Struthio camelus: one gene and its partner. The protein of the gene in region 1 purifies or fractionates together with the protein of each later gene. This does not show direct contact. Links are inferred from orthologs where the notes say so. Each region holds a gene or a part of one and is shown in the gene's direction. Other genes may lie near its edges. The genes, in order: RIMS1 and ERC2.

The links.
Region 2: the proteins of RIMS1 (region 1) and ERC2 purify together in Homo sapiens (affinity purification with western blotting; 3 studies listed by BioGRID and IntAct, with this or other methods). This does not show direct contact. The link is inferred for Struthio camelus from reciprocal best matches to the Homo sapiens genes RIMS1 and ERC2.

What each region holds. Positions count from the first base shown.
Region 1 is NC_090944.1:41,557,368-41,573,612, forward strand, and holds the start of RIMS1 (regulating synaptic membrane exocytosis protein 1), read left to right. Parts: upstream 1-9,474; 5' UTR 9,475-9,755; coding exon 9,756-9,919; intron 9,920-16,245. UniProt on the Homo sapiens protein: Rab effector involved in exocytosis. May act as scaffold protein that regulates neurotransmitter release at the active zone.
Region 2 is NC_090955.1:15,815,485-15,832,477, forward strand, and holds the start of ERC2 (ERC protein 2), read left to right. Parts: upstream 1-9,307; 5' UTR 9,308-9,405; intron 9,406-10,109; 5' UTR 10,110-10,287; intron 10,288-16,993. UniProt on the Homo sapiens protein: Thought to be involved in the organization of the cytomatrix at the nerve terminals active zone (CAZ) which regulates neurotransmitter release. Seems to act together with BSN. May recruit liprin-alpha proteins to the CAZ.

The sequences.
Region 1 (16,245 bases):
GCAACACTTATGATACTTTTAAAGCAGTATGTGCACTATCCCTTACATTAAGAAAACTAGAAGCCCTCAAGCGTAATTTAGTCTATACTTAGAAGAAGTAAATGAGAGGAATTACTTTCCTTTTTGGCTAGCACTCACAGTAACTATTTCAATAAAAAAAGAAAGATCAGTATAGCGGGCAAGTTCCACTCTGAGCAAAATTTCCTCAATTGCAGGCCAGGATGGGGAGGCAAGACTTCATTAAACGTAAATATATCAGGTGTGCTAATGTCAGTATGTTTGAAAAGTTAAAGCTACCATTATCTTTAGCTTACTACTTCAATATCCAACACACGGTAAATAGTCATAGGAGCACTCCTTATTCCATATTAAAACAAATATTTTAAATCACCTGTTTAAGCTCACCTCTTGTACTTTGTATTGCAGTGCATTAGAAGCACTCACTCTTTGTGGTGACTCAGCGTGGCAACTAAGGGAAGACTAAGGGAAGTAATTACTCAGACTGTTCAGTTTGATTACAAAAGCACCCTAGGACGAGGAAGGCAGATGAATGGTTATAGCACTGGAATGGGATGTAGCCTTTTCCTATTTCCTCCTCGTTTCCAGTGATTCGCTTGATGACTTGATTAAAGTCACTTATTCCATCTGTGCCTCAGTTTCCCCAATTATAAAAATGGTACAGCTTGCTGAGAACCCAAATAACTTCTATGTGTTTTTTTTCTTTTTTTCTTTTTAGGGGTACTAAATTTGAATTTAAAAAAATATATTTTCAAAACAAAAATTCCCCAAAATGTTGATTTGGGATGATCATAGCTTTCTTTTTGATACCTTTACTTTAATTAATAAGATTGTCCTTCTTATATTAAAGTATTTAACTCAAATATAATATCTATCTCACATTTTTTCATTAGCTGTTGCTATTTTAATAATTTAGCATAATACAAATGTTCAAACAAAATGAATCAAAACATTATCAAAATAAAGAAATCTGACACCACCGAAACAAAGCATTTTCATTTTTCTCCATGTAAACCATGCAGTAGATAGTGACACACTACTAAAGAATATTTTCATTTTGATGAACCTGCATTTCAAAAATCATGGTTTCAACACAGGTATTGGTTTTATGACATCTGGTTGTTCTCACATCTCAGCTCACATCTTCCTTTTTCACAGGTAATAATTATCTTTCTGTCTGTCTTTCCCTGTTTCCTCCTCTGCTCCACAAATGCACCACTCCTCTTACCAACATCCTCTCTAGTCCATATATTTCAAGCGCTCTTTTTTCTCAAGTTGTCCAGCTGATTAAAATAAAGTTAAATTCAGAGCAACTGTTCCCAGGCTGTTCTTAGCTTCAATTTTGCTGCTCTTTTGGACTTAAAAGGGGCTTGCGTGCCTGAAAGGTTGTTCATCTTTTCTGACTATAGTTATTGGATAACTAAAGATAATATTCTAAAGCTTTGCCTCACTATTTTTAAAGGCAAAACATTCCATCAAAATTCTTGTGCCTGTTCTAGTAGTAATACTGATTTCCTTTTAAAGTACTTCACAATTTATGGATAAATAGAGATGTACAAGAACTGAATACCACTATTATTATTACATAGGCTGTAAATAGACCCTAGGACAGAACTTGCTATAGTTCATACTCCATTACAGAAACAGCCCTGCAGAATGACAGTCTTTCCCCCATCACTACAATCTGCTCTCCTGCTGCTTCCTTATAGCCTGTCTGGGGAATCAGGTGTTTACTGCCAATTAGGCTTGATAAAACAGCAGGACTTTCTCGGACTCTCTTGACAAGAGTATTTCTGGGCTTCCGACAGCTGTTGTAGGGCTTTTGGCTACATGGACAGCATTAGACTGCAATGTACCAGGCACCCTGCTCATTTAGTGATTTAGACCATTTAAATCTTACCTTTACTGCACTCTCTGCTGCAGTCATAATGTAAAATAATGGTGAGATACTTTAATTGGCAGAGAACAGATTCAAAAACTCATATATCACAATGTAGATTACATATTTATTATATTTGTAGGCTACTTTACTAATGATATTAAAGCTGTTCAGCAAAACAACTGAAGCAACAATAAAATTCTTATTCCAAAAGATATGGGCTTCAATTATAGAAAATGTTGCATTACTTACTTACTGAATCATCGCTTTTTCGACTGCCAGATTGCTGACTAAGAGTATTGGGCTTCAGTTTCCACCGTCTGAGCCATAGCACTTCTCAGTCTTTCTGGCAGCTCTTAAAAAAAATATTACAAACTTAAGTCTCTTCTACGCAACTGGCCTTATGTGGAGTTCTCCTGAACTGAACGGGGCTGAACGTGATGCAGAATTTGCCTGCGTTATCAGCTTTAGACAATAGGTCTAGAAGATAAAGAAGAGTAGAAGATACCCTTTTTTGGGGTCAGTTCTGTCCTTATTGTGCTTCTTTGTAGTTAAAAGGAGACAAAATGCTAACTGATCTTCGCAGTTTGGAAAATGATGCTGCACTTTAAACCTTGTTAGTATTTCTGGGATTAAAAAAATAACATATAAAACGCATATGGAAAGTAGCCACGCTGAAATAAGAATCAGTTCATAACAGATTCAAATCAGACACAAGTTTGCAAATGCACTATTGCACCTAAAAGGGTGTATGAATTGGAGCTGCACATATAGAAGCATCATGTCATGGAGGAGGAAGGTGACAGTTCCTGTTTCTGCAATTTTGGCAAGCTGCACCTGAATGACGGGATGATTTTCTGGAAACTGCCATGCCAGAAATACAACAGGAGGGAACTGAGAAGAGCAAAGGGAATAATTAGAGACCTATGGGGGTGGGGAGAGGCTTTTTAGTCTAATTTTTAAGGAAACAAAGCTATGCAATCACAATGTTCTTCTGTCAGTTCTCCAGCAATACATTTGAATCTCTTGACCAATTTCAGATAATCAGGTTTTATGAAAATCAGCAGCCAGATAAGGGAAACTCAGACTTACGCAGCTACCAAAGGACAAGCGGAAGTGTGAATTTAGCCATGTTCTTTGACACTAGAGGATCCAAAGCTGTCATCCAAAACCATGCTCCATAAGGTTTTCTGCTGATGGATCTGCTTTTTCTGATCTTTTTTCCTTTTTTTTTCATATTTAAAACAAGATCAAGACTTCTGGCAGTATTTTTAAGACACTCATCACTGCAGTGTGTAGTCATTTATTATAAATTAAGGCATAATAACACATCCTGTCCAGAATAGACCCTGAAATCCTTACCTGCAACAACCTCCCTTTGTTACAGCGGTTGTTGGCTGCCTTGAAAAGAACTATTTTCATTTTTTCTCATACTAGAGCTAGCCATGACCTTCTTTCCTCACTTAAAATATTGCAGTACGACCAAACTTTAAGAAGTGAAAAATCATGAGTCAGATCCCAATACAAAAAACTGCTCTTGAAAATCATGAGATGTTGATGAAAAGGAGATTTTGCTATGATTTTGGTCTGTCTTTGGAGCTTTTAAATTCCTTTGACTCCTTTTTGAGTGCGAGAGAAGTCACAGCGCCCCACATTTACAAAGCTATTGTGAGAAATGACTTTGATCCCTTGATACTACAGGATATCTCCCCCTTCATGTCTGCCCTTCAAATATCACAGCCCCCAAACTGACTGACAAACTGACTCCTCCACAGCTTTCACTACCCCCAGTCTCCCACAAGTTTGACAAAAAACACCACTTGTTTAGAGAAGGAACTTACAGAAAAACCCTCTGACTTGTCTGTTTCCCTTTCCTCTCTTCAGTCTGCCTCCCACAAGAAAATAGACAATCATGGCTGCTCACAGCCGGACTAATGAAAAGAGCTTGAAAAGGAAGTAGGAGTGCAATTGAGAAATTCAGACTATGACCTTCGGATAGCCTGAAAGGAAGATAGGGGGAGGAGGAAAGTTCCTAAGGCTGAAAGGTCTGGAACCATAAAGGGAGGATGCGTCTGCCATGTATGGGGCATATGTGGATACTTGGTGTGAATTGAGAAGAACAGATTAAAAGTTTATGAATGAATGGCAGTGAATGAGATATGATGCAGTGTGATCAAAGATGTACGTATAACAAAAATTTGCTTATACTGGATGCTTGGAGTTGTGAAAAATCAAAGGAGATATATTTTTAGGGGTATGAGCTAATATTGTATGAAGGTATGGTGGAGGGGTGAGTCTTGTAGATATACCAAGTACACAGCGAGATGTAAGTGGTAAGGGCAGGAGCAGAAACGGGGCTGTTGGCAGTAAGGAAAGGTGCACCAGAAGGTGGTTGGAACGGATAAGTGGTGAAGTGCTTGTGGGTATTTTGAGAACAGGGAAGGAGACTAGGAAGCATCAGTGAAGAAAGAAGGAACCAATGAGAAAGGAATACAGATATGAAAGACTTTGATTATTGTACCCAAACCATTCTTCAGCTAAAGTTCACATTTCAGAAGAATAAGATTATTAAGCTATGATAGGTATTTATAAATAAGAAATTATAAGATGCAAAATAAGGACATTTCAGTGGTAGTACTTTCAAAAATAATTTGTACACAGCATGGGTGCTTCTTTTTACAAGCAAAGATGGCTGAAATCGTTGAAAATCTTATGAGAGTCCTGTTACAAAGGACAGTCATATTGTCATTTTGTCATATGGACAAAATATTCTCCAATATTTTGGGTAGGTGATTTTGATTTCTCAAGAAAAGAAAGATTCCTAAAATGTAACACTTCCTTAATTTCCATTAATGCTTTTGCATAAATCAATAGACTTATGGGCTACTTACTTTGAAGATCTCTGAAAACTAAAGTTTAAAAAGTTTAGAGGAGCTCTTGACCTATCAAGTAAACTCAATGAAGCCTGGGTTCCAAAGGATTTTGCATAAACTATGCCCATTATGAAACCATTGACTCTCTTGCTCTTTGGAGTCATCGTTAGAAACTACTACTAGCTTCTGTTGTAGTTAAGTAGGTTTCAGCTAAAAATAGTAGTACATTCAGTTTGTTCACTCAGAAGTTATGGAACAGTGGATGCAAAACAGGTATCGTGAATTTAAAGAATTATTCATGCTGTAACTCTCCACCCGGGCTCTTTTATTAAATATTGAGTACCCTTGTGAAATTTAGCTTAACCTATTTACAAAGTAGTCTAACTTGCATAGTCATTCTTCTCCTCAATAAGAGTTTGGTGAGTAGTCCAAATTTATTCTCTAGGTTGCCATAGAATCACAGAATGGTTGAGGTTGGAAGGCACCTTTAAAGCTCAACTAGTCAAACACCTCTGCTTAAGCAGGGTCATCTAAAGCAGGTTGCCCAGGACCCTGTCCAGATGGCTTTTGAATATCTCCAAAGAAGGAGAATCCACAACCTCTCTGGACAACCTGTTCCACTGCTCAGTCACCGTCACAATAATGAAGTTTTTCCTTGGATTCAGACGGAATTTTCTGTGTTTCAGTTTGCGCCTGTTGCCTCTCATCCTATCACTGGGCACCACTGAAAAGCGTCTGGTCTCATCTTTCCATCCTCCCTCTAGATATTTATACACATTGATTAGATCCCCCCTGAGATTTCTCCTCTCCAGGCTGAACAATCCAGCTTTCTCGGCCTTTCCTCATAGGAGAGACACTCCAGTCCCTTCATTATCTCAGTAGCCCTTCACTGCACTCGCTGCACATCTCTCTTTTACTGGAGAGTCCAGAACTGGACCCAGAATTCCAGGTGTGGCCTCATCACGTCTGAGTAGAGGGGAAGGGTCACCTCCCTTGACCTGATGCCAATGCTCTTCCTAATGTAGCCCAGGAGACCATTGGCCTTCTTGGCCACAGGAGTACTCTGTTAGCTCATGCTCAGCTTGTCCACCAGGACTCCCAGGTCCTTCTCTGCACAGCTACTTTCCAGCAGGTCAGCCCCCAGCCTGTGCAGTACTGGTGCATGGGGTTATTCTTCCCCAGGGGCAGTACCCAGCATTTCCCCTTGTTGAATTTCATGTGAAGTTCCTCTCTGTCCACCTCTCCAGCCCTGTCCAGGTCCCTCTGAATGGCAGCACAGCCCTCTGGTGTATCAGCCACTCCTCCCAGTTTGGTGTTATCAGCAAGTTGCTGTAGAGGCACTCTGGGCCTTCATCCAGGCCATTGAACAAGACTGGACCCATGGAGTACACCACTAGCTGCAAGCCTCCTACTAGACTTTGTGCCATCAACTTCATAGCATAATGAAACTCAACATTCTCAAACACTTAGAAAGTCAGTTTCATTTCTTGACAACTAAGGCTGAACTTGTTAGTGAAACACAAATATATATTATACATTTTAGTAATTCAGAGGATTTTAATTTAGGGAACATTTTTAGTTGAGAAACATTACAATTAGAGGCGAACAATTAAATGAACAGCAGAAGACTATTACTTTTGTTTAGTCGGAACCAGCATAAATGTGGGTTTTTCATCACAAATTCCATTCCAGTGATTGGTTTCTCAAGACAGCAAAGTTTAAGAAAGTAATTTACTTGATATGTTACAACAGTTGTACTCATATTCCATTTCTAGATTTCACAGCTGTCTTCCCCAGATAGGACTTCAAAGAAATGCCCATCAGTTAATAATAGAATGCCCTTCAGTGACAAGACTTTAGATGTTACCAAACGGGGGGCATTCTTACTAGCCAGGAATGAAATGCTCTTCAAGGCTCTCATGTATCATTTCAGCTTCAGGATATAACATATTGAACTAGATCGGGCTTTCCATGCATCTTTGGCTGGATATCAATGCCAGATATTTCATCTTTACAAAGCAGATGTAGGCAAGTCAGAAAATGATCAGTGGAGGTTTGAAATACTTAGAACATGAATCGAGTCTCCTAATGTAGCCTTATGAAAAATGAGAGAATTTTTGTGGCTTCTTTTGTGTTTTTCTCTAGAAAATTCTACTCTCTGTGCAAAAATATAAGATAATGTAAAATCATTTGTTATGCCTAAGACATTTTCTGTAGTATGATTTTATTCACAATATCAACTTGGTGCAAGACCATATTCCAGCTTCCATCTTTACTTTTCCTACCACTAGTCTGCAAAAGCTTTCATTTTTAAGTTATAAGAAACTTTATGTAAAGTCTCCTCACACTCTTTGAACTTATTTGGTAGTTCACATGTAGCAATAAGAATTTGTGTGCCTGTCCCAGCACATAGCAATTAATGAAGTAATACAGCACAGATTTACATGACTGTGTTGTGTCAGTAGCTAATAAGAAAAAAGGTGAGTAGGATAACTTACACACTTAACTAGATGATGTTACATTTTCTTTATAAAATTGTCATGGAGACATTTGGATCGTATAGTGTTAGGCCTTCAATATTTTGTCTGGGTGAGCCTTAAAGCATTGCCTCTCAAACTTTGGCCGCTGCTTCAGCTAATTAGTTCTTGCAGTAACTTGAGCTACATCTTCTATGACATGTGCAGGCTTAAATTATGTGAAGGAGTCTGGACTATCTGTTAATATCTATAACAACATAATTATTACATCTAGTATTACTATTCCAATCATTTCATGTTTTAGTTTTTTCAAATACTAAAGATACTCTGATATCTCACCTTCTTTTTTCTTCTTCTTTTCTGTCTTGCTTCCTTCAGTTTCAAGTAGAGTTAGCTGCTGTACTTTTTGCTTGTTGCTAATGAATGGAAAATTATTTAGCCTCATTCTCTTAACAGAAAGGTTACCTTCCCTTGCGGTCACAGACGGTAGAAAGTGATGTTATTGATATATTAACATTTGGCTAGGAGGACTACACCTAGCAGTGATAATGTAGCTGGGCCCTGGGACAAATTACCACTCAGATTAGTGGAGGGTCTGTGTCTTCAGCTGACCATGACATCATGATATTTACCACCCCTTCATAATGCTTTGCTTATTAACACCACTTTAATCTGTTCTGAGCTGTCTGTTGATCATTCAAGTTTCAGTTTCCATCATGCGCTGGAATAGTTGAGAGACTTCACTTTCTGAGCAGGATGAAAGCGACTGAACTTGGACAGTATCAGTGAAAGTTTTCATGATCACAGTACTGCTTAGTGCTTTTTCTTTTTCATTTATATTACCAGCTTGTTTCCTGCAGGAAATCTCTTGGGGGGACACAAGCAGATGGCGAGAGTAATTCCTCTCAAATTCAAAGGGTCATGAAGACTCATCGCCCTCAGAATTTGTGCAAGAGTTTATTAGTGTGGCTGGCTGAAAGCTGGTCCCTCTCCCTATTCCAAACCCAGTGAGTTTGGCAGCAAGAAGCACTGAGCGCTGCCAGCATAGATTTTTTTCCTTTGGTTATTGCCCATGAGATGATCTCTCTAGAAGCTAGAGCTGTTTCCATGCTGTGACCTCGTCAGAAGCGTGACAGAGAGGTCTGAAGTGTCAGCATGTGTTAGTAGTAGCTCACCTTCTATATGAAAGTGGAGTTTTCTCTGCTTCTCAGCTTTTCACTTTTCAGTAGCCTGAATGATTTCATTCACTGATATGCATGCATTCGAATAGGGGACCCTTCAGAGCTATAAGCATGAGTTTTGGCCAGTGGATTACATGCAGATAATCTCTTGTAGAGAAGGGCTGTTGTGTTAACTACCAGCTCCCTCAAATCAAGGTGTGAGCTAGTAAATCAGAAATCAATAGGGAAGCTGTCCAGAAGTGAAGTTTTGTTTTCTTGTGTGCTGGAACAGTTTGGACTATGGCATGTTTCATGGCAAGTTTTGGTGGGTCCCAGCAGGGAAAACATGGGACGTGACAGAGATATGGGTATAGCTGAGAGCGCTCACCACCCGCAGAGAAGTGTGGAGAGGAACAGCTGAAGCTCGTGGGTCCCCTGTTACCCTGCGTAAGGAGCTCATAAGGCAAGTGGAGGCAAAGCTTGAACGGAGGAGCCTGAGGAAGGGGTGGTTGGGTGGACAACGTGGTGTCTCAAGGTAAGGGGGCTGGGCGAGCATGGCTGAGGGGCTAGGGAGTGACAGCTCCCATGGCACCTGGGCAGAGCAGGGAGCCCAGGCCCCCTCGGCTGCCTTAGGCCACCCCGCAGAAAGCCTGCGGCACAGCTCCTCGGCGGCTGCCCAGAGCCCGACGGTGGCCGCTGAAAGCGAGGCAGCAGTCCCGCTGGGCGCTCTGGCAAGAAGCCCGCAGGGGGGACGTCAGGAGAAAGGCAGTGCCAGGGCCAGCTCCGCGGGCGTGCGGCCGCGGGGCGAGCGAGGGGCACCCCGGGCGGAGAGGCGCGGGCAGCCGGCGCTGCCGCCTGAGAGGCGGCGGCGGCGGCGGAGCGCCTCGGACTCCGCCTCACCGGCACCAACCCCCGCTCCCTCCTCCTCCTCCTCCTCCCAGCTCCGAGCTCGCAGCGGCGGAGCACTTCGGCGGCGGCAGCACCCGCCCTTCGCGGCCGGCCCGCGGCGCACACCGCCCCCCCTCCGCCCCGCACGCAGCCCTCCGCGCCGCGGCGCCCCCCGCCCCGCACGCCCCCCGCCAGGAGGATGGGCTGCGGGCGGCGGCGCGGCAGCCCCCCAGCTCCCTGAAGCCGCGGAAACAAAGGGAGGAAGCAGCAGCAGCAGCAGCCGGGCTGGGTTTGGATGCAAGCGACCATGAAAGGCTGGGTCTCCGCCTCCTCCGCTGCTGCCAGAGAGCTGCCGGCTGCTGCTGCTGCTCGGAGGACTACACTGTGAGGGGAGGCGGGGGAGAGGCTGGATTGGTTTGCCTTGCCAAGGTAGAAGGTGTAAGGGAGAGGCAGAAATAAAATGTCTTCTTCGGTGGGGCCCCGCGGCCCTCGCCCACCCACGGTGCCCCCCCCGATGCAGGAGCTGCCCGACCTGAGCCACCTGACAGAGGAGGAGAGGAACATTATTATGGCAGTGATGGACCGGCAGAAAGAAGAGGAAGAGAAAGAAGAGGCCATGCTCAAGTAAGCAGACGCCAGTCATTCATTCATTCAGTCACTCATTCATGCGCCGATTGCTGGCGGGCGGGAGCGGGCGCTGCCACAGCGGCAGCAGGACGGTGCCCGGGGCCGGCTTCGCCCTGCTCCGGGCCGCCCTGCAGGGACCCCTCAGCGGGGCTGGCGCTGCAGAGCCCCAGTCCTCCTCCGCCCCCGACCCGTAACTTCCTTCTCCCCAGTTGTCCTCCCGCACCGCGGGAGGCAGAGCTGCCTGGGGAGCCCGGCGCCGCGGGACGGACAGGGACGGCGGCCCTGCCCGCCCCAGGGGAGCGCCCGGCGGAGGGCGGAAGCCCCCACACGGGGGTGAGGGGCGAGGTGGGATTCCTTGGGGGTCCCCACGGCGCCGCCCCTTCCAGGAGGGACTGCTGGGTGGGGTTTCCCCTGCTCACGGGAGCCTCCGAAACTGCCGTGCTGCCCCCACCTGGCTCGGCCTCGGCTCCCTCCGTCCGCGAGGGGCGGGAGGCCGGGGGGGGAGGGGGGAAGGTTGTCGGCGGCTGCCCCCAACGGCCGCCGCGCCCCAACGGCCGCCCCGCCCGCGCCCCAACGGCCGCCCCGCCCGCGCCCCCAACCGCCGCCCCTGCCGCCAACCGCCGCCCCTCCGCGGGGCCGCGCCGCCGGCTCCCAGGCGGGCAGGGGCTGCGCGGCAGCTCGCTGTGGAGACAACAAGGCGTTTATAATTAGAAAACAAATGTAATTAGTCGCACTGCTCACGGCAGAGGGGAAGTGTGCGTGCGTGCGTGCTTGTGGGACGGAGGGGAATTGGGTTTATCACGCTCCGGGCTGCACAGGCAGGGGCGTGGGGAGCTCGGGGTGTTGGTAGATGCCATATTTGGAAACCAGGACCTTACAGCCTCTATTGAACCTTTCCTCTCTCTTTTTTCCCCCCCTTTCCTTGCCAAAAACAATGCATGTGACCACGTTGCCTAGCCTCCTCCATCAATAGGAGGCTTCAAACCTAACGTTACTGAGTTGCCTGCTGTGAGTGATGAGAATAAGCAGATTGAAACTGTGGCCTGTGGAGGAGAATCAGATTTTCTCCTCTTCTGGCTACCCTTCAGGCCTATTCACTTTGTGAGGGAAACGGTAGAATAGGTAAATGGAATACACACAACCCTTTTTGTTACCTACAGTCTCTTTACCATCTAAGGTGTATCCTTATCTCATTGTCTTCTGTCCGCATATGTATGGGTTTGGAAGGGACCTTCGGAAGGCGTGACATGGTCTGGGGATTTCTTTGGCCGCATCAGAAATAAGCGCTTGGCAGACGTGGGTTCCAGCTCTTCCCGGCGGCTGCCTCTAACCAACAGAGATACCAAATCCCTGCAGGCTCCTAACTTCCGTGCCATGTATTGCAAGTGGTGAAGCTGGGAGTTTATAGTCATTCATTATATTGCTGTCTCTGTCCTTTCTCATCGGTGCCTGGATATGAATCTCCACAGGGGCTACTGGTGCTGATCGCAAAGGTGTATGCGGAGGTCCAGTTGCTCGTGCTGCATATCGCCTAGGACTGGGACTGAGGCAGGGAATGTGGTGTCTGGATCTTGGTCCAAGAGGAAGAGTTCATTTCGCTGTCTGATGCGCTTGGGGTGTGGTTAATCTTTGAGGTGCAATGATTGAGCGAATAAATATTTTGTGAAAATGTATTGTATTAGTCAATAGGAGGAAACATAAGTGAGGGATGCCTCTTTAGTTTTTATTTATGAGAAGAAGATGAAAGGGAGAAATAGTTCAAAGGCTCTAAGCTGCGTTTATCCTCCTCCCATTCCTTGTCCTCTGCTACAGCTACTTCTCTATAAATATTTACCTTTTATTCAGTGAAGAAGATTACTGATTCTATGATGATGTTGTAGAGCAATACTAATAAATCCTGTAGTCACTACTAGAAGGGACTTTTGTCAGCCGAGATGGTAATTTTCGGCCCCGTTCTTGCTAACATGAAATAGGGGATAAATTTTCCTCCTCTTTTTTTCTTCTGCTCTTGGTTCATGTAGTCATTTTTGAGTTCTGGAATGATACTTTGTTGCTTCTGTAGGATTCTGGGAGTCCTCAGCAGTTTCACTAAAAGAATGTGGGAGACTTCTTAAAAATAATTTTTAGAAGAGGTCAAAAATTGCTGCTTGTTAAATTACTACTGCTTGAAATTACTTTATATTGTGTTTAAAGGTTTATGATACCTGACGTTAAAAGTTTATTTCCTAAAACAGTTGTTTTAATTTGCGAGAATAACAGTTTAGGTTCTCCCTCAGTCTGAGAGATTGTGATTCTAAAGACCTTTTTTTTCTTTAAATAAAGAGCCAGAAATTCATTGAAAATATACTGAAAAGCTTATGAACCTGTTTACCAGCTTTAGTTATATCATTGATTTACAAAAATTAGGTCATAGCAAATAGTTTTCATGTAGATTATGATTTTGAATGTTCATGGAGCCGCTATATTTCTAAAATCGTTTGCCTTTCCTATATGCCTAGCATTTACCCCTTTCCTCAAACAAGAGCTATACACGTCTTTCCCTTATAGATTGGATTTTGAGGCAAGAATTTACTTCCATAATTTTGTGGAGGCATGCTACAAATACGCAATGGTGCTATCCAGATGACACAGCTATATTATAAAGTCATATACCATTACTGTCCCTTCCTATTATATTCAGTAAAAGTTGTTCTGATTTTCCAAATGTCTCAACAAAACAGCCACCAGTTTTCATTTAAAACCACCTGGCAGAGAAATGCTTCCTTCTGTAACGCCCACATACAAATCTGGAATGTCCCCTGAAAGTAAGGCTGATCTGTGTTGCAAACTAGGCTACTTCCAGTCCTGGACCAATGAGAGGTCTAATACCAGGTGCCTCATGAGTCATAAGGACTAAAAAGGGTAGAGCATTTCTGTCCTGTTCTGGATGTCCTGATAGTTAGCAATAAAAGTTTCTGAAACAGTATTTATAATTTTCCTTTTCAGGGTTCCTCATAGTGAAAACTGTAGGAACAGTTGCTAGTTAAATTACAGTATTCTTCACATGATGATCATAATATTGCGGATCCAAGGGAATGAATTTGAGGTGTTTCTGTGAGTAAGTTGCATGGATTTCAGGAGATGTGAAAGAGGTTAGGGTCATCAGTGATGAGGCTGAGTCCCTCTCCATCATGTCTGTACCTCTCTGGCTTCCTGAGCCCTGTTTCTGACCGTGAGCTAAAAGCATTCCTGTAAAACCTCTCTGTCAGTTCATGCTGACATCAGCACATACCGCAGCGTGCCAGCCTGGGAGCTGCTACAGGGAACAGGACTAGGGACAACATAATGCTTTCTCTGCTTGTTCTGGAGAATTATAAAAAGGTATCCTTCTATTTGAAACCTTGTTTGCCCATCTTGCTTCAGAAACTTGCCCTGTCAGTTTACTGGCCTGCCGAGTTTCCGGCTAAAGGAGCTTGCCGTGCCCTTAGGATAAAGGCATTCAACTTGTACTGGCCAGTGTGACTTTAATTCCCCCTCCCCCCAAGGTATTCCTGAGCAGTGACAGAGACCTTGTCTTCCTCTGACCCTTTCAATATCAGATTTCAGACTGCCCTGTTTGGTGTTTGTGGAAGAGAAATATTCTGTTATCCTCTTACCTGTTGAATACCTTGGAGCAATGTGTTTGAAGACTTCTGTGAAGGTTCTTCCTTTTGCTTTTTTAAGAGCAGCCGCATCTTGCCATGAGGAACATTTCAATGTTAGCCGATTCCCTTGAAGTCACCTTTACCTCCAAAGAACAGGTTTTGCCTTCTGCTCTAAGAGAGTCAATGTCACTATAGGTACTCTGGAGAGCATATCCATGCCTTGATGCAAAGAAGTGCAGCTCCAGTTTGGTGTCGGGTACTGAAGACTCAAATCCACATAAGCACTGTGATGCCTACCTGGCACTTAGTAAAAATTGAGGCAGCTTGGGTGCAGTCCACAAAAATCTTTCCTCAGTAAGACACCTGAGAAGCCAGGTATTCCTGTGTGTCCAGGGCCCGTAGCTCCAGAACATGTGCAGGTGCATGAGTGGCTTGGCTGCAGTGGGTTGCTTGACTTGCTATCTGTCTTGTGCCTTTGCCTGTTTGGGAGTCACAAACTACAGTAATATGCTTAAGTCTTCTGAAAGACCTGATGCTAATACAGCACACGTCTTACGCATGTTGATACTCGACTCAACACTGAACTCAACTCAAAACATCGGTGTTAAAGCGGTGGCCCCTTTCCTAACATGTAGGCAATATTACTGCTTCTGACTACTTTAGGTCTAATAGCCTGGTAGTTAGGAAGTGGTTATCTAAGCCTAATGCACTTCTCAGCCTCAGAGATTGTGTCTTGAGAAGTATTATTAAGTTATAAGTTAGTGGAGACGGTTTAGCTCCCCGTACAGAGCAGAATGAAAAGTTTATGGGCCCAGGAGCCTAACTCAACAGCAAGCCCAAATAGAGCTCTCCCCTGCAAGGGGATACATGCTTTTGTTAGCCAGGGCTGTTAATTCAGCCTTTATTAAAGAGTCGTTTGATTAAAATGCAGAAAGCTCGGGGACTAGGAGGCAGTTCATCCTCCCTCGCAGCTGAAGGATCTTGTCTCTGGTCTTCAGAGCTACCTCCTTGTTCTTGTGTGGTCTCGAGAACTTCACCTTTGCGCATGCCACAGCAGGCACTGGAGAGTAGTCTGTTGAGGAGGTGTGGCTTTACCACAGTAGACTTGGCTCTCGCCCATTTTTGCTTTCCTGTTTCATGCCAACCGTGCTGGATTTTGTGGGTATCTCTGGAGACGGTAGTCTCTACTCCTCTGGAGATGGTAGTCTCTGCTCTCTTATATGGAGGTTGGCGTTCTAGATGCCTAAGTTTCCACTGCTCTTGTATGAACAACTGTTTGTATAGCCCAGTGGTAGAACGTGCCATGGCCTCCTCTGCAGACTAGCTCACATAGGAGGCCTTTGTCCTGTTCTACATGGTAGGTACTCCTGTAGGTGAAAGGGAAGAGGTTTGTATTGAGTGGCTGATGTGACTAGGCTGAAGTGCAGATGTTGACCTACAGGTGATTGTGGGGATGCTTGAGGAGGAAAGTTTTCAGTGAGGCTGAAGAGAAAAAACAAGCAATTTTTTTGCAAAAATGCAAAAACACTTTAAGAAAGATTTTGAATGTTTTGAATATACATTCAAACACTAAGCCTGCAACAACTATATTGTTTGTTTGTGGTCGTAAGGTGCTTTGAAGTGAAATACCCTCTGTTAATCTGCCATAAATTTCCAACATAGACAAATCACAGAACTATATGCATTTATATGTATGTATTTAAGCTGAAGTTTGCTTATAAGTAGTTGTGTGCATTATATCATATGAATTAGTTAAGTATTATGTGCAAAATACAGCATCTATTAGCACTGCTAGTTGAGTTCCAGTTCTGTTCTACTGGGGACTCTCATGTCCCAACAAGGCACCATACACTGGGACAGTCAAAGTTTGCTTTTCTCCACTGCTTATGGAACAGTAGTTGATCAAGAAGGGAACAGCTATAAATCACCCTTGGATAAATTTTGACCAGAAATTAGAAGGAGGTTTCTAATTATCAGGGCAGTCATTTTCTGGAGCAAATTTTAAGTGGGGAGAAAAGCTCGTACTACTCCTGTGATGGGATTTAACCAGGTTGTTAAAGAGATTGTTTGCCTTGTATTGGCAGTAGCAGGAAACTGAACTCACAGACACAGGGGGAGTCCCTTCTAGTTTTGTAATCCTAGCTGAATTGCTTCACTAGAGAAGCCAACAGGTGCTCATAGCCTTCCCAGACCTTAACACAGTTGTTTGAAGAGTTGCCAAGGGAATGGCAATTGATAATTAGGGAGGAGGTGATCCTAACACCCTGTTTTGACCATTTAGTGTGGTGCACAAATCTGAACTTAGAATTCAGGTTTCTAGACCAACGGAGATACTGGAGCCACTTACTTTTCAGGGCTGCCAAATCCTGAAGTCACTTAATGTTTGATGAGAATGTGTGTTTATGGTGAAAGATCTCAAGATATCCCCTATAATTTCCTGTGTGCACTCAGAAGTTTTCAGTCAGAACTGCTAGGTACACAACTCTCTGAATATGAACAGATTGGCAAGGAGGCACCTGTTTCTGACCAGTTTCCTGGAGGCAGTTTGTTTCCCTCTCTACTTCTAACACTCGGACTATGCTTAACACTGGCAGAAAACAGTGAATTCTGCTCAAAACATAGTGGCAGCTGCTGCCACCCTTGTGTTTTGAACAGTAATCGGTCAGAAGAAAAATAAGGAACAACCTTCCTAACCTAAAT
Region 2 (16,993 bases), on another chromosome or scaffold:
ACCTCCCCTTCACGGTAGCTGCCACTGCTGTAACACATGGTTTGCCTGTCTGCCTTTTGCTATACATAGTTGTTTTCCAATTGCCCTAAAGTTTTCAGAATAAATCTAATATTGCATGGCAAACTACTCCTTTATCCCAACATGAGAAATCTAGTAAACATTTAATATAGTTTCACTTATATGTACGGTGTTTTACATCCTGAAGGAGCAAAAGCAGTTTTAATATGTCAAAAATTAAGCTGTTTGTGAGGTTTTCCATTGCTTTTCTCTTATCTTCTCTGTGGCCGATAAACCTGTAGAAATTTTGCAAAGATATTTCTTCGTCTATCCGGTAATCTCACTAAAGAATTTGTATTAGTACTTCTGTTTGTTTCTAACCCCTGATTTTTCTGGAAGTTCTGAATCTGCTCCTTAACACTTCTATGTGGCTTCCTTTGTTTTCTAACTGATATTAACCCCTTCAGCAGAGATGATGCTTTTCTCCTGCATTTTTTCATATCTGCCAAAGGAATACTGTACCACTAAATGCTAATGGATTGACAGGAGTGTACGTGTTTCTTCCACCTTAAAGGTGGGGGAAGGATAGAACAACAGCTGTTTACGGGCTTCATTTTTGCCTTCTATTTATTGAGCTTTCTGTCACTTTCCAGCATCTTGGAATAAGTTTTCTTCCTAAAATTAAGTCCATATGCTAAAGAAGAAAAATTATGTGGACATTAACATTATTATGGTATATTTAGTACATAACCAGAATTGGTCTGAAAGAATTAAAATTATTAGTGATTTCCACTATGCTTTAAGGTTTTTTTCCCCCTTTTTTTCCTTGATTTTAATTGACTCCTCCAACAGAGTCAATTGAACAATCAGAAAGCCCACAAATGGACAAAGGAGATTAGGCAGCATCACATATATGGATTTTTTTCTCTAAACAATGTTTTATTAAGTGATAACAAAGAAAGAGGATTACTTCAATTTGAAAGAACTATGTTATGAGATCCACCTTCTCCTTCATTGCACAGTCACACCTCAGGCATACTTATGCTCACAAAATGCATATGCTTAGATTTGCAATCTACTAGAAATAGATGTGCCAGACTGACGATGAGAAATTCCTGTACTTTAGCAGCCATTTTGTACCTATTTGTAGGGAAATTTTATGTTATGCCAAGCTGACAACTGGAAAACATTTCTCCCTCTTTTAACTTACAAGCCCTCTTTTTTCTCTTTTCCAACACAAATTGTAACGTTAATCTATTGTTAGCACTATGCACTATGATTGCACAATAGTAGTTGCACAAAACACTTACTAAATCAACACCATGATACTCCCGGGCACTGATTAACTCAAGTCCATGCTTAAGCAGAGAAACGCAGTGATTTGTCTCTCCAGGTTACATTGTTGTGTGATCTTCACTGTGGTGTGTGTCACAATAACCTGCTTTAACAACATTTCTATAATAACCTAGCAGTTCTGTAAACAAAATATGCTCATATTATATCAGTTCAGTATGTAACTTAATAAAGAGATAAAGAACTCACAGGAAGTCCAATTTAATGTAGACTTCCACTATTTTTACATACATTAAAAAACACTTCTATTACAGTACATTGTTGTGTCTCAATTACTGAAATCACAAATTACTCATTCTAGGAAAGATAATCAACAAATATACTAGTGGAATAGGATGTAATACTGAGAATGGAACAATGCAAAAAAGGTGATACTGAGTTGATCCCTATATCTAAATTACCCAGGGAAGGTGCTTCATCTGCAACCCTCAGTATTGAAATAGGCTTTTTTTTTTTGTTGCGATGTATCAGGTACAGAGGAGGATGTTCTTATTAGATGCTTCTGGAGAAAGAGGAAAAGAATGCCTTCATAATCAATGGGACAGTAAGAAAGAATTTCATCTAAAGTTACGTTTATGCTGGTAAATTAAACAAGGTCAGGACGCACTTCTTGGCACTGAAACTTGATTTTTTGGTACTATTCAATTGATAGAACAGTAGCTATCGTGTTTTGGCCTAGACCAGCTCCCTCTCTCCCCGTTCTCAGCATATTTTGGAAGTCAGTGTAGGTTAGAGTATGTTCCCAATAGACAATTTACATGGGACTACCCTATTTTGGGAGCTTAGAGAGCTTAGTAGTATCAATCCAGACCATTCTACGCCATTTGGTCTGGATGCCAGAGAGGGGTAATTAAATGTGCTACTATACCTGCAGCTTACAGGGCTTGTTCTAAATGAGAAGTTAATCAGAAAAAGACCTTTATCTCTTTAATTCCAGAACTGGTAAGATAAGTTGACACAATCATTTGAAGTCATATCCTCAAACAGTGGCCAAATTTTAAACAAATGTGGGAGAAGCCCTGATATTTCATCAGGTCAGAGTAATAGACAATCATCATAGAAATACTGATATTTAATTATAGCAACATAAAAGGTTCCTTCAAACTTATATTAAACTTTCCTTAAGTTTTGAAAGATCAGAACATAAATGAAGTATTCAGAATGGCACGTACCATTTGCTCTTCTACATTACAGCACTTACAAGAATCTAAATCACAAGTGTGAAATCCAGTGCTGTTAAGTGTAAGAGATCCCTTTCTAAAAGTTATCAGTACAATAATATGAGAATTAGACAATGAAATTAAGACATACTTCAGTGGAAATTATGGAGCGTAAGACAACTGTCCAATTACAGAAATAACGGTTCCTTAAAATCTGGTCTTAGGTTCTATGTGAGGCAAAAATGTATTGCTACTGGTAGAAATCTAACATTGTTGTGTTGTTCTCTGGATGGTATTTTATACAGCATAACTCCATGTATAACAAACAAATTTAAAATTAAAGAATGTTGGATAGCTTAAAATATTCCCAAACTAGAATTATAAAACATGAAAGGAGGAAAAAACCTTGATGTTTTAGCTATAGACCCAAGCATAGCTCAGAGTATTTTGAAAATTTTCTTAAAATTTCTGCCACTTTGTAATAAAACTGAAGACTGAGAGAACCTGAGCCTTTGCATCATAGTTTTTCACTGAGGAACTTGGGTTTTGGAGTATTTTTTGATGTTTTCATGCAAAAATATGAAGGAGAAATACTAGTACAGGTGTAAATGCACCTGTAAAAACATTTGTAAATTGGCTAAAGTAATATATTAGATAAATGGAACTTAATTCCCCATGACTTTGTACTTTGTGTAAGCCCATAAAGTAATGTGAAATATATATAAAATGTTACTATCTCAAAATAGTAATTTTATAAATCCCCTTCAGCATAAATGTCTATACAGAATAACAGATACAAGACTGTCAAGTCCTCCTCTTACAAACGTGGGAGCTCTACAACAGTTTTGTGAGCCTCATGCCTTCTTTGTAATGTCAGTTATTGACTGATAAGTAGCTTTAATGTTAGCTGGATTGGCCTTCCATAATCAGGCATATTGGACTTGGTACTCTGTCGGACATGCTGTTCCTCATCAGAATCCACAACTAGTACTAGAGTAGTGAAGCATCTGCAGATTCACTGTTAGCTTGATCCTCTGCTACCTTTTATATATGTATTCACTTTCGGTTTGAAGTGCTTATTCAAGGGTGTTAGTTTTTACTCTTTTCAGTTTATTTTACTTTATTTGACCTAATGGGGAGCTACTGAGTATGGGAATTTGACTTCCATTTTGGGACTACTCTTGAGGAGCAAGATCTAACAAGTTTAAGCAGTTCAGTTCCTGTTCAAATCCTTCTACCATGTAAATGTGATAATGGCAGTGACTCAGGCTTCAGTACCCAGCTCTTTAAAACCAGAGAAGAAGGTTTCTCAAGCAAAATGTTCACTTACTGGACAACCGTTCTGTAGCTTTGCTGAGAAAAGACAGCATGCTTGAGGGAACTGCCCTACAATCCTGATTTTGTTTGTACCTGTCAGCTGCAGCGGCTGAGAACACATGTAGGGAAGGAGATCTTCTCAGCTTCATAAAACTGGGGTATTGAGGAGTGCTTCAGATGAAGTGCCTCGCGCTGATGCTTCTAAGTAGAATTGCTTGTATCTAGGCCTACTTTCTAGGAATAAGGTATGCACTTAAAAGCTTACTGAAATGTCCGTTGGATTTAAACTTCATAGTGTCCAAACTGACATAAAAATATTACCTGGAGCCTATGGCTCACTAGTCACTGCTTGTTAAGCAGCAGCACTAGCATAGTCACTGAGCGTGATGGGTACAATATTGTATTGCGGCTAATACTGTGTTCCCATAAAACAGATGCAGCGAGATTTAAATAAAAGTACCATTGATAAAATTTTAGATCTTAAAATGTTAAATCTAATTCAAGATTTTTTTAAACTAGATTCACTAGATGTTGTTAGGGGCCACTTGAGTTTGAATTTTTGCAAGAAATATTTTTAGGACTCTGACATACTGTACAGTTGATAGAAAAGCCTATTAATATCTGCATTTTGGGATGTGGCAGCTGCAGGAGTTCTATGAACTGGATATTTTCACTATAAAATAATTTGCTACTTTTGCTCTATTTGCAACAGTGAAACTAAGAAAACATGCTAGGGTAACTTTATTTCTATCCTGACTAGATTAGCAATGCAGTGCACAATAAATTGCTTTAATTATGCAATTGCCAAAAAAGCATCCACTTTCCTTTTTTGAATTGCACAGTAATGTATTCCACAATGAATTCCACAATAATGTATTAAACTTTCATGTATACCTTAAGTAACATTTTCCCCATGCTCTGTAAAGCATGTGTCATTTTGAGATAAAATTAAATAAATTATACTAAGGATTTTGAAAACTAAGACAGCAGACTTTGGTGATCTGTCATAAGGACAGTAAAGAATGAAATAACTTCCAGTGGAAACCATTTTATGACTGAATTTAACAGGTATCTGTAGGCAGGTATCTGAGCTGATAAAGAGGAAATAGAGCTGTCCTATGAATTACTGACTGAGACTAAAACACCTCCATAGATTACACTAATAGGACCTCATCCTGGAAAATGGTTTCAGTTCACATGCTTACCCCATGTCCGATCACCCCAAGTCCGATCACCACATCTATTCTGTAACCTTCAGCTTAAATCATGCAGATTATTCTTCTTTTCTTCCAGAGATATGAGTATACCCTGCGTGAAAATATCTTCTTTTCTTGCACACTTCCATAAATTTTCTTCTCTTCAGATCTTACCAACTGAAAAGTACTCGCGCTATGAAGGTTACTTGCTGATTTGATCTTTGCTGGGAACCAGCTGTTAAAATGAATGAAGAGGACCAACATCCATCATAACTTATTTTCTTTTCCACAAAATAAATCCCTTACATCCCTTTCTTTGACTATTATCAAAGCAATTTATCTCAGTAGTATTGTGTGATAGAAAGTTCTACTGGACAATTATAACTAACTTTAAAAGTGCTCATGAATGCAATATAGAGTTAAATTTTATCAAGCAGCCTATCTTCGCATTTATTTTACTCTTTACTGCAACATAGGGTAAACAGGATTACTGATTAAATTTTTTAGTAATATTCTAATCTAGTATTACCTTACAGACTTTTGTTTTTTACCATCATAACGCAGGGACAGACCCTCCTGATCATCGTATATATTTCTCCTTAAGAAGGTCCCATGCTTCTGTCTTCATACCTTTACATTGTTTCTATTCATGCTCTATTATTTTTGGGAGAAAGCAATTCAGTTTCTCATACATGATATTTATGTAATGCCAGAATTGTTTTTTCCAAGTCACTTCTAACTTTTAATTTTTATTTAAAAAGTAAAGGAGACTGCTATATCATGCTACTGACTTGGCTTCCGTAATAGAAAATTAAAGCTGAAAGCAACTCAGCCGCTAGGGAGGCACAGATGAAAACATCAGGGTCAGATTCAAGGGAATAAAGCTAAAATGCGTTTTTCTCAATTTTTAAAGCACACACCTGTGGTTGTTTGCTCTCAGTTATGCATTAGTAGCGACTGAGCTCCGTTTCTATTTGTATTTCTGTTTTCAAAAAAGGAAGTTCTGAACAGCGTACATCTTCACCAAAATATGAAAGGAAGCTGGATGCTGCTGAAATGTCTTTACTACACGGAAGAAGAGTTGGGAAGCGTAATGGGAGGCACAGGAACTGAGTACTATCAGTAGCATTATATGTGTTTTCTAATGTTAATTTAAATTATTTATACTTAGAAAAACTGAACCAAAAAATTGCAAGAAGACTATACATGTTTTATACTTCCCTGTTTCTGAAATCAGTATAGCATAGGTTGAGTAAAATCATAGCAGACTTTAAAATTTGTGTTTCTTCTGTACTTTATTTGTTTAGGGTCTAACTTACTCTCATTTAAATCTAAAGGAATTTTGTTATTAATTCCAATGGGCTCTTTGCAGGTATTGATATATAATATACTCATGAAGAATTACTAATATGCTGTATTTTGAAGATAGAAAGATTTTCACGGAAAAAAATCATACACACTAGTCAAAAATATGTGTTTATGCCTGTAAGGTAGAAATTGTTGAAAAGTGTAATCCATAGATAAACCACCACATGACATGTATATTATAAACACTTGTTCAAATTTTGTAACTGACTGCTTCCCTCTAACAATTGGCTAAAAATGAAGTCTGTTAATCATATATCAGAACTTTTTACATTTTTAAAAAAATGCTAGTTTACTCACATGACCTGGCTTTCTTCTTTTCATGCTTAATGGCATCCACCTGCATCACAACACCAGTGACAACACAAATGCTCCACCATTCGACTGAAAGGAGAGCTTTCATCACTTGCAAAGTAGGTCTTCTCAAGTATATATTACCATTATTACCCTGCCCTTTGGATTGGGATTCCAGTATTGTCTTGAATGTAAGGAATAAGTATTATTCAAGGGTTTGGAGTATGTGGCTGTGAGGTTGTTTGGGTACGTATTGTTTCTCTAATACACTAAATAGATCATCTGTAAAATTCTGATCATTCCCTTTATTTGAATTGCACATTTCTTCCAATAATTATTTCCAACACAATTTGGCAAAATATATTTTTTTGCAAAAAAATACCTATACCAAATGGTCTTGTCCATAATGGGTATATTTTCTTCTTTGGCATTAGCAGTACTGACAGTCCGTCTGCAGATGGTCTACTGCTCCAAGATGGTCTATGATTAATTCTCCTACAAACTTTATTGAATGATAGCAAGCCTAATTCATTGCAATGTTGTTGCAACCTTATGGTAGCTCTGTGGCATCTTCCCACAATTATTATTCCTTGGAAAGGGGATTCTTAGGCTACTGGTCTTTTGTCAGAACGATCCCCTTTTTTGGCGGCTGTCACAAGGCCCATAACCTTTGCCAGTGAATGAGTCACAAAAAGATGAAGCAGAACCTGATCTTCCTGTCTCTGCATCTATATGAGGTATACACTGTGATAAGCTGTTTAAAAAAAACTGACAGCAGCTGACACCACTTTTAACAGAAGTCCTGTCATCATTAACAGTACTGAGACAGAATTGGTATTAGCAATACTGAGACAGCTCTGCAAGATATTCTTTTTGCACACTGAATCCAAATTAAGCATTAAACTTTTGAAAATCGACATTTCTTGCGCTTTGAAGCATTGCTAGGTGACCCACATTTTACAGCATTTATCCATTTTCTTACAGATGCAGACTTGCTACCTTTTGAAGTACAGAAAAAAACCCTACTTCCTGCTTGCTTTTTAGATCAAGTCAATTATTTGTATACAAAACCACGTCCTTTCTTGTCAAGTGTCTCCAGGAACTGTTTTTCTCTGTCCATCACTTCCATATTTTTGTAACTATTTTAACAGAAATCTCTTCAAGTAAATACACAGCTTTGAAAAGTGATTAAAATTTGCATTTTGATCACAGTTTGTCCCATTACTTTGAACACAGAAAAATACTTGCCCTATATTGTAATATAGTTGAGGTACATAGATATATATCCTTTTCCTAGCAAAATAAAACCCATTATCATTACTATGATTTGGATTCTAGCATTGTTTTGAATAGTTGCATCTACAAATACATATTTGCAACAGCAAACACTTTCAATTGATGTTGGATAATGCAACTATAGCAATGAAGGGGTTATGTTATTTTTAAACCTGTTTGGTTGAAACCAATTTCATTTGACCTAATTTCTAACAGAAAATCCATAAAAGCTGCCCTAATCAGTGATTCTCAATAGTGGTACATATAGGTACATATGTGGGCAAGATAGGAGGTAAGATGCAGGTTACAATAAGGCAACTACAGATAGGAAGTTATGTCTTAAGAAGTGTCACAACAATGACATTAAGAAAGAGCAGATACAATATATTTGTGAAATTCTGGAGAGGGTAAGGTATGAAGTTGCCTTCAAGCTATGGATTGAGGTTGATCAGCTACAATATCTTGTTATCAACAGCAAGTAAACCCATAGAAAATACAATAGTGAGAGAAGGGAAAAATGGAAGACGAAAGAAATGCATTCCTTAAGATGAGAAGTCAGTGGTATTTTTTAGGAATGTTTCCCTCATTCCCCTTAATATCGAACTAAATAAATAAAACCTCAGGAGCAATTCTTCAATGCAGTTTGCAGTTTTCTGATGAAAAAGGCTTTCAGGCTTCATATAGCAGCTAATCTTCCACTTTTCCTTTTTTCTGCTAATTTTTTTTAACCCAGAAACAAATCTGGACATCTCCTTAATTACTTTGACACTTAGGCCAAAATACAGATTTAGATTTCTTTCTCCCGTGTGCGTGTGTATGCACACACAGTAACCGATTTTAGACACGATGCTTTTAAGCATCTGTCTTTGAGCGCTTTTAGCCTTTGATGAATAGAGCCGAGAAAGCAATTTAGCCTCGGCAGTTTTACGCAGACATAGGTGTATTTTTAGGCTGCTGCACAATGACTAACGTGCTTTCCTTTCAGACATTTGCTGGGTGGGGATGGAACCCTTGGGTGTGCAAAGAACGGACAGAGACAAATACTCTGAGAAAGCCACAGGCTTGTGGTACGTGTGCTGCTGCTGTCACAGCTCTCTTGCTGTGCCTGCTGCCAGGGAGCTTGCTGCTGCCCCCGGCGGCAGGCCGCTCAGCGCGGATGAAAACCCAGCTCCTCGGGAATGCTGGGAATGTTGAGTCAGGGACTGGCAGCCCAGACAGGCAGGCTCGCAGCTGGCTGAGGGACACTCACTGAGGGACAGAAAGACGAGGGACAGGAGCACATGAGCCTCCCCCGATTGCAGCAGGTCCCCGCTCTTCCTCTCTCCGTAGGTGTTGGGGTGCTCCAGCTCTCCGCGCTGCTGCCTTCCTCTGCGCAGATGAGATGTCAGCTAAACGTGATGTTGTAAAATCCATGTGAGGACGAAGAGACAGATGCAATGATTTGAAAGGTGAGAAGCTTACGCGAGAATATGGCCATAACACATTACTATAAATTAATTGTGATTAAGGAAATTGTTATATATTGCTTTCTATAACTGTCTGGTAGCTGAAATTGGAAATGAGATTGCAGAAGAAGCTTTTTACCTTGCTTTATAAATATATTGCAATAAATGGGACCAAGTGCATATCTTATTCTGGTAACAGAGTGCCTCTCCCTACTGAATCGTCAGCCAGATACCTTTCTTGCAATTTCTCCTAAAAGCAGCGATAGGATTCTCATTTTTTGTGCCCGGTGTTTAAAAATATTGCTGCTGTTGTTAAAGTTTTCTAGAACAGAATTGATGAGCTTTGAAAATTCCTAGCTTTATACCTCAATATTGGATAATGTCTGGTGTTTTAAAAAACTGTGTCAGGGAGGGGAGGAGGAAGAGATTTCTGTTCTCTTTTAGTATCTGGGGAAGGGAAGCCAGAAACTAGCAGGATATTATTTTGCAGTTATATAATTAATGAATACTTACTGGGGTTGCTCATTTATTATCCTACGTGTGTGGTTTTTCAAGATCATTTTAGGTAGCACAGGAGTGATGCACATGATAAAAATCCATGCATCTATTAATCAAACGTACACATATATTTTGCTAGAAACACTAGAATAGTAATGTGACGGAGAAGGCTTATTTTTTATTATTATTAGTGTATGATTGATTTCTAGGCGGCTACCTGCTAAGCCTTGTGATGGATGGACGGGAATCTATTCCCTTAGCGGCGAACTGATATTTCCCTTTTGACGGACAAACCAACCGGCCACTCGCGTCGGCAGATACAAGCTCGTTGCAAATAAGCGCGGCCAATACGTGCAGCCAAGAGGAGGGCAAATCCTACTTGTCAGGGTTAGTTTTCTGGTTGGCTTTTTAAATCAGTGGCTTCACTTTACCGTTTGCTTGTTTGGGATTTTTTTCGTTTGTTTGTTTCCTCCCCCCCTTCCTATTCCCGTTCCCCCACCGCCGGGTGCGGGTCCAGGGCGGCCGCCTCGGCCCCCCCCCCCCCGCCCTTCCCGGCAGCGCCGCCGAGACCAGGCCCGTCCCCAGCCCCCCTCCCCCCCCGCGAAGGGCGGGGAAGAGGGGAAGGTGCCCCCCTCCATCAAGTGTCTTGGCTGCCGGCATTTCCATTTCCCTGTGGTGAAGCAGAGGACGGGAAAGATCCTCCTTCAGACGCCTTCCCTCCTTGCCGCCCCGCTCGGGGCGCAGGTGCTGTGGCGCTGCTGACGCTCCCCTCCCGCCTCCGGCAGCCGGGAACTCCTCAGCGCTTATTCAGCCGCTCCTCTTGCGGCACGGGGGCTTCGGGCTGCCCTGCTGCCCCCACCACCACCACCACCACCTCCCCTTTCCTTCGCAGGGAGACCGACCGTCTCCGCGGATTCCTGCGCGCTCGCCCCGCTCCCGCCGGGCGACGCCTGTGGCAGAGCGCCGCGTCCACCCGCGCCGCGTCAACGACCCCCGCAGCAGCCTCCCTGCGGGGGGGGGGGGGGGGGGGAAGACAGCCTTGAATTCGCCTAAGGGGAAGAGATCCGATCCTCTCTCCCCCTTCCCGCCGCCACAGCTGGTCGCGGGGAGAAGCTCCCCCTACCTCGCTGCGGATCGACCCCCGCGGTCCTACCAGCCGCCCGAGGCAGGGAACGAGCTGCGCGACGGGGCTTTCTCTGGCACCCGCTGCAGGGCGGGGTGGGGCGGGGCGGTGCCGCCCCTCCCCGCCCCGCCCCTCCCCTCCCGCGCGGGCGGGCCGGAACGCCCGAGCTCGTCTCGCTGCCGGAGAACGGAGGCAGCGCGCGCCGGCGGCGCCTCGCGCGTGTTAACGGTCGCTCGCAGGCGTCAACGGTCGCTGGTCCCCTCCTCACAGCTGCCCGCGCTGGCGTGCCTCGGCAGCGGCGGAGGTGGTGGTGGTGGTGCCCACACCACTCCAACAGTGTGAAAACGTCTTTTCGAGTGCCCCTTGATTGCTTCACCGGGTCAGGCAGTTTCCTAACTCGCTTTTCTGGTAGTGCTAGCTGGTGGTCTCGACGCCTAACCTGTAGAAGAGTGGAAGTTTTTATAGCCCCCGCCCTGTCCCCTCACTGTCTCACCCACGTGAGCAGTGCCTTTTCAGATTTCTTCTTTTCCTCATACATGATGGGGAAAATGTGCTTTTTTTTTTCAGGTTCTGTTTTTGCATGTACGGGATGTATAGTGGCAAGTTTCTTCAGTCACCTTAAATAGTATGTTTTTGTGGGAAAAGATACATTGACCATTTCTCTAGCTACCTTGAATGCAAGTCTTGGGTGACTGTGTTAAGGCTTCACCCTCCAGCAAGGTGTGTGAAACTTACTCTTTTTACATTCCATCAGTGCTTTAGAGAAACTTTTCCACTACTGGGTTTTTTGTAATGGTTTTGGAAACCATTTATAAAACAGTCTTAAAAGGCATCAAGGTGAGTTAGCTATTTCACTTTTCCAAGTGGAAATTGATGGGGAAAAAAAAATTAAGGTGCTCTCACTTCCTAAGCGCTTTTTGAAGAGGAGAGACAGTATGTTTGTCCTAGCAGCCTCAGGATTTCGTCCATTGTTTCTGCTGCAGTTCGTAGGAGAGATTTTCTGCCCTATGAGTGAAGGGAATGATAGTCCTTCATAAGCTCAGGTTGAATTGGGGTATCCAAACTGTGGAGTTGACAACTGAGATGTTTCTTATTTGTTGTTTTTTGTAGCATTAGTTTCACTTTCAAGGTATTATGCCTTGAAATAGTTTCTTTTATCACCACATAAATTGCCACTACGAGGGGAAGGAGATAATGTTTTGCTGGTGAAAAAGAAAGTGAGGGTGTGGACTGTGCTGCTGTCATTCTCTCAGAAATGCTTTTTTGCTTTTTTTGTGTGTGTGGCTTTTTTTTTTTTTTTTTTTTGAGAGAACAGATGGTGAAATACTGACTTCAGAAAATAGTCAGAGTAAGGATTTTGAAAGGTAGTACTGATGATTGAAAGGATGTTTCTATGTTGGAGAATGTATATTTACATACCTGTATATTTGCAAACCTGTATATTTACAGGTTTGGAGGAGAATCAGCTGCTGTTGTCTTTAAGTAGCTCCTACTTTAGTCTTGCTCAGGTGGTGGGATACCTACGTTGGTATGATTTCTTCCTGAAAGTGGAAGATGATACTGTCTTCCTCACTCTGGCATTGAGATCAAATGCTTTGGTTTTCTAATTGGCGGTGATTACTTCCCCTCCTCCCCACTATAAAGATGGGTTTATGGATACCAAGTGTCTTCTGTTTTGAACTAAGATATGTCTTGTACCATTGTAGTGGTTTCTTAGTTACTCTTCTTCACACAAATCAAAGAGAAAGTTGGTGTGCTGAGACATCTTCTGTCCTTTCCCAGCCTACTGGGCAAAATGGAGTTCCCTGCCATAGAAATTGTGTGTGTCTTTGGTCTTCCTGAGCATAGGTCTCCTTTTACCTTCTTTCAGGCAGTATTTGAATCTGTTATTATTAAGATATGACACTTTCTGTTGTGTTTAAGCTCCCTTCGGAGGAGTCGCATCTCACCTTCTCTCATGGTCTGTGGGTTCTGCTCCTTCAGCTCCCCTAACCTGCTGATACTCAAATGCTGGGTCAAAGTTCTGATGAATGGTAGTATAGCTATTCCTGCCAGTTGCCCCTCCTGTCTCCTGCTGCTCTGAAGGCTGTAGAAAGGTGGCAATGGAAGGGGGAGACCAATATTCTTAGTACATCAAGTGAGCACACCCAGCCAGGTTAGAATGCCAAATCAACTTGGTATTCAGAGAACTAGCTATTCAGCCTGTGCGTGTTTGAAAGAGATTGTTCAGGGTGATTTTCTTGCTTTAGAAAGATGAGTCTTGCAGACCTCTAAGGGATGACTAACAAAATAAGAGTAGGTTTTTCACCCTCAGTGAGGGTGAGGCAACCAGCCAGTGTATTACTTTCAAAGACAGCATATGCTCTCCCATCTATGTCTCTTACAGTATTATATTTTTATCCATCGTGATGCATTTGTTATGTTTTCAGTTTAATTTAGACTGTAAGATGCTTGGGGTAAAGAGTGATTTTTTTTTTCCTTAATTTAATTTTATAGTTCACATTCACCTAAGAAATATTACTGGGACATTGAAATAATTTTTGTAGTGCACCTACTAATTCATTTATGGCTCTATATTTTTTCATTTTTGGCATTACTTTAATGTATTTTTGCAAAGAAAGTAGTCGTTTTTGGATGACTATATGTGTACTTAGCACTGATGAGTTTGTCTCAACTTACTTTTTTCATAACATTAATACTAGATTTTTATTTTCTATAAAGTCTTGGTAACAGGGCAGGAATTACTAACTCAAAAGGAGATTATGATTGCTTTTTGAGGGGCATAGGTAATCAAGAGAAACCTAGGAAATGGATAGAAAAATTTCTAAATGAACTTGGTAGTGCTTCTTCTGGGTGGTACTTCGAAGAAAATGAGAATACAGATCAGCAGAAAAGTCAATTCACAGCACTTGATTTTTAACTGTTCCTTTTTTTGTTTTATTGTATAAGTGTAGGCTAATGCTTTTTTAAAATTTATTTTTAAGAAACAATCCTTTTGAAATAAAATGAAATGGATTTATGTTGGCTTGTCACTGCCCATACATAAGGTGTAACAAAAATACGTGGTTTTGTCAGGGAATGGTTGTGGGCTGTTTGTGGGGTCCAGAAATGGTTATAACTATAGATACTGGAGTGTTTGCTTGTATAGGAAAAGGTACACATCTGTCTTGAGTTAACAGTGGCTTCAACCTCATTTTTTCAGCTCTGTGCTTTTTTTTTTATTATTTTTTAAATATGACAGACTACAGGCTTTTGGGAAATTATGATTCTAGAGAGAAGATTAAAACCTGCATAGTATTTCAGTTTCAATGCTACTTTCTTGGTCGTTCTTCTCAAGAAAGACTTGTGATATTGGCTTCTAAAATGCCCAGTTTTGGAAAGTCTTAAACAGCTAGGTTTAGTTTTGGAGTAATTATAACAACTAGGTAGGAACACCAACCTCACGTCCTTTCAGAGATAGTCTGCCAGGCGCTATGTTCTGAACAAGACGAAAGCAGTAGTGAAGAAGTACTGTCATACCATTTTTGTCCATGGAAATCTGAAATTCCTTCTTGATATTACAAGTGTAGGCTTGGAGATAGACAATTTACATGTTTGGAAAGTTGAATATCACTATAAATCTCTTTAATTCTCAAAAAGAATAATGGGGGAGAACTGTAGTGTCAGAATTTCTGTTGTTTTAGGATGGCAGGTAGAATGGGGCTTAGAATCCAACATCTACCTCAGAGTTTCAAGTTGTCACAGAATCACAGAATGGTTGAGGTTGGAAGGGACTTCTGTAGATCATCTAGTCCAACCTCCCTGCTCAAGCAGAGTTATGTAGAGCACATTGAGCATGTTCAGGCTGGTTTTGAATAACTCCAGCAACCTCTCTGGGCAACCTGTTCCAGTGCTCCGTCACCCTCACAGTAAAGTTTTTCCTCATGTTCAGATGGAACTTCCTGTGGTTCAGTTTGTGCCCGTTGCCTATTGTCCTGTCGCTGGGCACCACGGAGAAGAGATTGGCCTCATCCTCTTGACATCCTCCCTTCAGATACTTGTATGCATTGATGAGATCGCCTCTCAGTCTTCTCTTCTCCAGGCTAAACAAAAAATGTTGTGACTGGATGTGCGGGAAACTGCCATTTGGATGTCTAGCAATACTTAAATTTTTTTTGAGAACTTTTAAAAACAGATTTTCAAAGAGGAAGATAAGATTTCTCGACTATCAAAAGGTTAGCTTAGAAACTCACTTTTACATTCACCGTTTACTGGAAATGAAGCTTCCAACTAGCTAACGTGTGTCTTTATTTTTGTTAAGAATCCCACTTTCAATAGCTATTAGCATATATTTTAAACTTTTCATTGCTTGTCATACTCACTGATATGGTTTCCCTCTGATAGAAGTCACAGTGCAGCTGTAGAATCTAGCAGCTAATTTCTACAGAAATCAGAAAAGAATGACTTTAGCAGAAAAATGACTAGAAAGATTTGCTTTAGAGTTAAATCACATTTTTAAAAATTAAAAAATCATTAACAAATCTCTTTTGATTAGCCCTCCCCCCCCCCCCCCCCCGTTTAATAAATACCATGAAAAGGTGAAAGGAGCAAAAATATAAGTGAAAGATAAATTGTAAAGGTGCATGTGAAAATGGAATGCATTATAGTTGCTGAGATAACTGGAGTTGAGGCAGGAAGTCACTAGAGAAAGGAATGTACTATAAACACAGACTAATGACTGGCTAGCTGGATATAGCATGCATTTTGTTTCTAAGAAAGTGAAAGAAATACGAGAGAAATCTTTGCCACTCCTGAATTTAGTCCAACAGATCACACTGCGTAGAGCATGTATGTGGAGCATTTTGTCTCCAAGTAAATTGTTCAGATTCCTTGGGTTGAATGTTGACTTATTGGCCATACTGTTCTATTGGCTTTGAGAGGCTAACAGAATGTACTTCGGTGATTTCATTCTGATTCCTAATGGAGATTTACTGTGTCCAGACTCACAACTGCGACTATTTGGCATCTGATTTGATTGTCTCATCAAAAACATAATAAATTGAATGGATTTGGAGACCACAGTACTGTAGTTTCCAGGAGTTAGTTCCTCCTTGCAAATACAAGTTAAATCTTGTTGGAGGTTGCACTGATGCTGCTTTTGTTTCCAGTAGTGTTAACTCAGCGCTTTTCATGGTCAGTAAAACTAATTTACAGGTAATCTGCTAAGATATATGTGATATTTCAAACATTGCATAGAACATATACATAATGAATCCTATAATATTTTTATAAAAAAGCATAGGGTCTATATTTTTATAACCTTGTGAACTTTGACTTAAAGAATTTTCTCTAATGTATTCTTTCTCTCAAAATGTATTCTGTTGTTAAAATACCATATTTTTTGTCACTTCTGTTCTTTGAACATCTTGGGTTAGCATACAAACATAACATGGTAAAGCATAATTGTTCTTTTTGATGACCAATGTCAAATAATAATTTAAGAAATGGGTATTCTCAGATGCTTCTTCGGAAGACAGTTTGCTGTGTAAAGCATGTCTATTTTTGATGGCTATGTATTGGCAGTCATGGTGTACCTTGGCTTTTATTTAGGTATCTTTTTCACCTCGTTTGAAATCTGCTCAGGCAACTTGTTTGCCTTAATGAAAGCAGTACAATAGCATCTGTCATCAGTGTCAGATGTTAACATCAGATGCCTGTAATGACTTCTAACTTGCACTTGTGAATTGACATGATTATGCTGAGCTAAGATGGGTTCTGTGTCAGTGTGAAGGTGGAGGATTGGGTGGTGCTATGAAATTGTTGATAACCAGAAGTGGTTGGGAAACTATTTTCAGCCTTTTTTTTTTTTGGGGGGGGGGGGGGGGGAAGAATTCCAAAAGTGCAATGTTTTCTAACAGTTCCATGGAGCTCTCTCTATGCTGATTCAGAGGTAATTAGCTAAATCAGTCAGACCACTTACAGAGTCTGTGT